Sus scrofa: one gene and its partner. The protein of the gene in region 1 interacts with the protein of each later gene in a biochemical or structural test. Links are inferred from orthologs where the notes say so. Each region holds a gene or a part of one and is shown in the gene's direction. Other genes may lie near its edges.

Region 1 (2,869 bases):
GAGAGCCCCAAGTACAGCCTGGTGGGCAGGAAGAACCTGCTCATCTTCAACCTGTCGGAAGGAGACAGTGGGGTGTACCTCTGCCTGTCGGAGGAGAGGGTCAAGAACAAGACAGTCTTGCAGGTGGTGGCCAAGCACGTGCTGGAGGTCAGGACGGTCCCCCGGACCCTGGCCGCTTCCACCTCGCCAGCCACACAGACAGAGGGTCGTAAGATCACCTCCAGAGTATCAGTGGGGTTCACCCAAAGCTCCCCTCCGCAGACCCCAGCCGTGAGGGTCACCACCCCTGGGGCCATCGCCCCCCCTTCCAGCCCCGAGGCGCCCACCAGCACGTCCTGTGAGCCAAAGATTGTCATCAACACCGTCCCCCAGGTCCACTCGGAGAAGACGATGTATCTCAAGTCTGGCGACAACCGCCTCCTCATGTTCCTCTTCCTCTTCTTCTTCGTCGTCTTCCTCTGCCTCTTCTCCTACAACTGCTATAAGGGCTACCTGCCCGGACAGTGCTTAAAATTCCGCTCGGCCGTGCTGCTGGGGAAGAAGAAGCCCACGGCGGACTTCTCAGACTGCGAGCAGAGCGTCAAGGAGACGCTGGTGGAGCAGGGCAGTTTCTCCCAGCAGAACGGGGGGCAGCCCAAGCCGGCGCTGGACACGGGCTACGAGACGGAGCAGGACACCATGGCCAGCAGGCTGCCCACCGACAGGGAGGACTCGCAGAGGATCGACGAGCTCCCAGTCAGGGACCGGCCGTTCGACGTCAAGTGCGAGCTCAAGTTCGCTGACTCGGACGCAGACGCGGACGGGGACTGAGGCACCCGCCGCGCGCAGGGAGGTCTTTGTGTCGCCAGTTCTGTGACCCTGTCCAGTGCCGCCTACGTAGCTGTTGTCAGCAAACCTCAGTCTTGTGTCTTTCCTCTTGGGTCGCGCTTGTGACTTGGTTTCTCTTTGTCCCTCGGAAAACAGCGAGCATCCCATCGCGCCCGGCCTCCCCGGTGGGTCAGAGCGCTTGGAGCTGTGTCCTCAGGCTCGGCCGAGCACACTCTGAGGCGGAAGGATGGCGGGGCTGCCACTGGCCTGGGAAGAGGGGGTCCTGAGCATCCCCCCCTCACAGCAGCCACTGAAAGATAATTTAATTCCAGATTGGAAATGACCTTTTAGTTTATCAGATTGGTAACTTATCACCTGTTGTCCAGGTTGGCACGAACTTTTCTTCCACGACATTATTTTTTAATATTTTGCTTTCATTATGTGGGTGTGTTAGGTCCTTTATTTTTTAAATTACTAAAGCAGATGTTTTAATATTTAGAAGATGTCCATCTTCTGGATTTTGTTGTACATTAGGGGAAGACATGGCTTATGTTGCTTAAGATTCTCAGGGATAAACTTACTTTGCTAGATGTGTTCTTTTCTGCTTTTAGAGACTAGACAAAACCATTTCTTGGGCACACATGTTTTGGGGGGGTGTTTTTTGGTTTGGTTTGGTTTTGTTTAATTTTATTCCTTGAGGGAAGCATCATTTTCGGAGAGATTTTCTTTCTGTACCTTTTCACTCTTGTTTTAACTCTTTTGAAGAGAAGGCTGTGGAGGACGGTCCCAGGACACGGGGCGGGACTTTGAGGGAGGAAGAGGGGCCCAGCGTGCTCTGGGCGAAACCGGGCTGGCCCAGGGAACTGAGAGGAGGAGCATGTTACAATCCGACGCCCACGGCCACTGGTCCAAACCTCCTGTCCAGACAGACAGTGTTTTCTGCGGGTGTCTTGGTCGTCTGAACATCTCCGTTTTCTTTTTGCTTCCATCTCATGCCCTCTGCCCGCCCAGACTCTCCGCTTAGCCTAACAGCTGTCCACAACTGGAAGAGAGCTGGGCAGCCCTGGACGGCCAGGCCGGTGACCAGCGCACCTCCTGCAGAAGCCGCCACCGCAGACCTGCCTGGCCCGGCGCTGTCTTTTAAGATGCCAGTGGGGTGGCACAGTCTTAGCACCATCAGTGTCACACTCCACTTCCTGCTCTCCAGACGCCTGCAAGGGGAGCCTTTCTTTCCGTGGCAAAGAGCAATAAACTCTTAATTTGTGTGTGCCTGTGTGGACCGTGTCATCTTCCAGCATGATAGGATTCGACTGTTTTGGTGTAAACACTTGTGTTTTATAAGATTTACTTTGTTTTTATTTTTCTACTTTGAATTGTATACATTTGGAAAGTAACCAAATAAACGAGAATCTTATATCCTTGACGCGGGCGTGTGGTTCCCTGCGGCTCTCCTGCCCCCTCCCTGTAGTCTGGGTGGGGGGCCCTGCGTCCCTGTGCTTGGCTCTCAGGCTCATGCATGTGGTGTGTTCCTGGTGACTCTGCCTTAGAGCCCTCTCTCTTTTCTGTCCTCTGTCTCGCAGCCTCATCTTCTCTGCCCTTACCCCCTCCGGGGTCCTCTTCCCTCTCCTGTCTGGGCCCCGATTCATCTTCCTCCCCCCGAAGCCCCTGGCCGGCCTTGGGCCCGGGGCCTGACAGCCACCGGCAGGTCACCTTGCTGCCGCCCTTCCTCGGCGACCAGGCCCAGCACGTGCATGCCCTGGGGACCTTCCACCTCTTCTGCCAGGCCACAGGTGAGCGGGGCACCGCCCAGGTGGGGGGGCGGGGCGGGGCGGGGCTTCCTCCTCGAGCCCGGCCTTCCTGGCTGCACCCCCCCAGTGACCCCCAGCGACACTAAACTTAGTCATACTAAGGCTATTCGTGTGGATGCCGGGGCCTGAGCAGCGTTTTCCACGAAGGACTGAACTCTTTGAGGTTCCATGTGTCCCAGTTTCTGTTGCAACTACTCAGTGCTTCCCTTGTAGCCTGAAAGTTGCCCATGAGTGGGCACGGCTGTGCGCCCATC
Region 2 (3,716 bases), on another chromosome or scaffold:
CATAAGAGAATCAGTTTGGTCCCAGATTTTCTGCATCCTCCCAAGGATTGCCACATTCCCAGGAAGAGCTTTGGATCGAGAACTTCCCTGTATGTGGGATTCTTGGCAGCTGTCTAGGACTACAGCAGGAGGGGAGCTGGGCCCATCCCCCCAACCCCCAAACTGACGGAGAGAAAAGTCCCACCAAATCAGGGACCCTTTTCTGGGAACCCACACCTGCGGGGAACGCCAGGATGAACCCCATTGCTAGGACACCCCCCTTCCTCCCGAGAAGCAATGACTGGGGAGATACTCCATAGACAGCTCAGCACAAAAAAGCTCTGACTACACACAGAAAGCCTCCGGACTGGGAAGTGAGGTGAGGAATGTGGGGCAAATCAAGGGAGAGGATGAGGGTGGGTGTTTGAAGCCCAGCTCTGCCAAAGTGGGTCTGGGATGCATGAAAGGGGAGCACAGGCAGGACACAGGAATGAGCCTCAGTAATGTTTCTGTGACACCTCACAACCCCAAACCCCATGCTCTGGACCTCAATTTCCCCTCCCCTGCCCCTCTAACTGGGGATCAGGGGTCCCGTTTGCTTCACTGAACCCATCTGTCTGAGACCAGCTCATATCTTCCTCTTTTGTGACTGTAAGTCACAAGGCAAAGCACTAAGCTGTGTGTAGTCACAGAGGGAACACAGAACCTAAAAGTGTGAAGGGACAGAGGGGAAAGTGGCAAGGAAAGCCTGGAGCCCGTGGAAGAGGGGGGAGACAGGTGGGAGCAGAGGTCCCCAGGATCATGGCTGAGGCCATCACCTACGCAGACCTGCGGTTTGTGAAGGCTCCCCTGAAGAAGAGCGTCTCCAGCCGCCTAGGACAGGGTAAGGGTGGATGAATGTCGCCTTGATGCTGCATCTCCAACCTCCTTCCTGCCCCTCCTTCCACACCCAGATCCCACCTTTTCTCTCCTCTCCAGACCCAGAGGCTGATGAAGATGGAGAACTCACCTATGAGAATGTTCAAGTGCCCCCAGGCCCAGGGGGGCCCTCGATCTTGGCTCCTTCTGGATTAGGGAACAACACAGGTCTGGAGAGCCCAGGGGATGTGTGTCTGCCTGGGGTGGGGTGGTGGGGGTGGTGCTGTGTCTTGAGCTGGGGCGTCCTCAGCATTCTTGGGAGGACAATACCCTTGGAGAGGAGAGGTGTTCTCAGGAAGAGAGTGAACACCACTTATGGGGGCCAGGGAAGGATGAAGCTCCGAGGGTGTGTGTGTGGGGGATCCCAGTGGGGAGCTAGGGCTTTGACGAAGGACCAGGGCAGCCCTGTGGGGAGCTGCGCTCCAATGAGAAATGGGGGGTCCCGGGAGAGAGAAGGGAGGGGAGGGGAGAAGGGTGAGTGCACTCCTGGGGAGAGGGTTTGGGGCAGGCAAATGAGGGGCCCCTGAGGAAAAGATAAAGGGAGACCCAGGAGGGCGACAGAGGGTCCCCCGGGAAGAACAAGGTAAGACCCAGGAGGAACACGACAGTCCCAGGGGAGAAGAGGAACTCCGGGGACCCCGGGCACCGCTAAGGGTGTCCCGGAGCAGTGGCAGAAGGCACCTTAGGACCGACTGGGATCTCGCCGCGGTGAGGGGGGTCGGGGAGGGAGAAGGGGCTTTTCCCCGGCCTTCCTGTCTTCAACCTGGGACCGCTCCCTTCCGCAGGGGCGCAGACTGAGCAGCCAACGGCCGCCTGGAGCTCCTCGACGTCACCAGCTGCCAGGCGGATTCTCCCGCGTGAGTAACGCACGCTCCTCGCCACGCGCGCGCCGCCCTCCGCCCTCCGCCCGGCGGGGCCGCGCGCGGGACCTCGTGCTGGGCGCCTTTCCCCGCCGCTCCCCCTCCAGGGTCCGCGAGGGTGGTCGCGGGAGTCACGTGCGAGCGCCCGCTCCCATGGGTGGTAGTGCTCCGCTCGGAGGTGTGCAGGTCTGGCCAGGGACTGACCTTACTCTGGTCCGCATTCCCTTCTTCGCCCTCTCCCCGGTCTCCATCTGACATTTAGTTCCAGGTCCTACCAGGTAGTGCGCCTCAGTCAGTCCTTACCAGTAACAATGCCCAGCCCTACTTCTGGAACACCTTCCCTCCGCTACCTGCAGAAACTCTGCGGGACAGAAACCACCATGCGTGCTCCAAGTCCTCTGTGGGATGTTCCTTCCCATGAATCTCCCACACTCCCACCCCCTCAGTCTGTTAACTTTCCTGGGGTTCATGAACCCCCATTCCACTGTCTCCCTGCAGGCTGCGCTCGGTACTTCCTTCTGGGCCTGCTCCTCACCTGCCTGCTGTTAGGGGTGGCCGCCATCTGCCTGGGAATGCGCTGTGAGTATGGCGACTACCCCCCATTTCCCACATGCCCCAGACAACCTGCTCCCCCACAGTTGCCCTTCCTCCCCAGCGCCCCGAGTTACCACTACCACATCCTCAGCCTTTCCTCTGGCTTCCAGCCAGGTCTGCTTCAGAGCACTGTGTCTTTCTAAATTGTCTTTAACTAATCCAGTACCTCCTTAAGCTTTAGGCAGTCAGATCTTATAGTCCAGCCTGTTAGGCAGAAAAATTGCCAAGAAACAGAAAAAGGGCTGACGCTGAAGTCTCAGGGCATCAGAGCATGGCTGAAGATGTCCTTCAAATTTTTCTTTATGGCCAAACAGATCTGCAGGTGTCTCGGCAGCTCCAGCAGATGAGCAGGGTTCTGGAAGCCACTAACAGCACCCTGAGGCAGCAGCTGCGCCTAAAGATAACCCAGCTGGGGCAGAGGGAAGAAGATTTGCAGGGGTCCAGGAAGGAGCTGGCTCAAAGTAAGGAAACACTACAAATGGAACAGAAGATTTGCCAGACTACCAGAGAGGAGTTGCAGGCCTGCCAGTTGGACAGGAAGACGACAGATGAAGCCTTGAAAAACAAGGAGGTACAGAGGATAAACTTGGAGCGGAGGCTGAGAAGTATGCAGGACACACTGAAGCCCTTCTTTACATGCTCCTCACCAGGTATGTGCTCTGAGAGAGAAGAGATGGGAGGGTCTGCTGTGAGCAATGGATCGAAGTGAGGAGACACTTGTGACAGGGGTCTGTCCATCTATTAGGGGACCATTGAGTTGTTCAGGAAAGGGGTAGTGAACCGGAATACTTGCCTTGGCCAACGGGGAGAAGGATCTAGCTGGATAAGGATTTAGGGGGACTCACCTAGCTCAAAGGAGGATCCTGTCAAAGGAGGATCCTGTGGAGGAGAGGAGGGTGGCAGCCAGCAATGCAAAATGACACTGTCCAGAGCAGCAAAGTCAGGGCTCATCTGGCTTGACATCAGCATCAAGGATCTGGGCACACCTGAATATGGTTGTGCAATTGGTTGTTTGCATGTTTTTTCTAAAGACAGGCTCTATAGCTTTCTTTCTTTCTTTTTTTTTTTTTTTTGCTTTTTAGGGCCACACCCATGGCATATGGAGGTTCCCGGGCTAGGGCGGCTAGGGGTCTAATCGAAGCTACAGCTGCCAGCCTATACCAGAGCCACAGCAACGCCAGCCGCATCTGCGACCTACTCCATAGGTCATGGCAATGCCGCATCCTTAACCCACTGAGCGAGGCCAGGCATCGAACCCACAACCTCATGGTTCCTAGTTGGATTTGTTTCCGCTGCACCATGACGGGAACTCCAGGATCTATAGCTTTACTTCATTCTTTCCACACCTGAGATTCCCCAAAAGAT

Evidence for each region. The genes of interacting proteins can lie anywhere in the genome.
Region 2: the proteins of SEMA4D (region 1) and CD72 form a complex in vitro, tested with the Homo sapiens proteins (2 studies listed by BioGRID and IntAct). The link is inferred for Sus scrofa from reciprocal best matches to the Homo sapiens genes SEMA4D and CD72.

The regions. Positions count from the first base shown.
Region 1 is NC_010456.5:967,660-970,528, reverse strand, and holds the end of SEMA4D (semaphorin-4D), read left to right. Parts: coding exon 1-810; 3' UTR 811-2,230; downstream 2,231-2,869. UniProt on the Homo sapiens protein: Cell surface receptor for PLXNB1 and PLXNB2 that plays an important role in cell-cell signaling. Regulates GABAergic synapse development. Promotes the development of inhibitory synapses in a PLXNB1-dependent manner.
Region 2 is NC_010443.5:236,350,493-236,354,208, reverse strand, and holds the start of CD72 (B-cell differentiation antigen CD72), read left to right. Parts: upstream 1-780; coding exon 781-862; intron 863-957; coding exon 958-1,065; intron 1,066-1,682; coding exon 1,683-1,754; intron 1,755-2,255; coding exon 2,256-2,336; intron 2,337-2,665; coding exon 2,666-3,001; intron 3,002-3,716. UniProt on the Homo sapiens protein: Co-receptor of B cell receptor (BCR) that plays both positive and negative roles on B-cell functions. Recognizes the Sm/ribonucleoprotein (RNP) self-antigen ligand, and coligation of CD72 and BCR inhibits BCR signaling.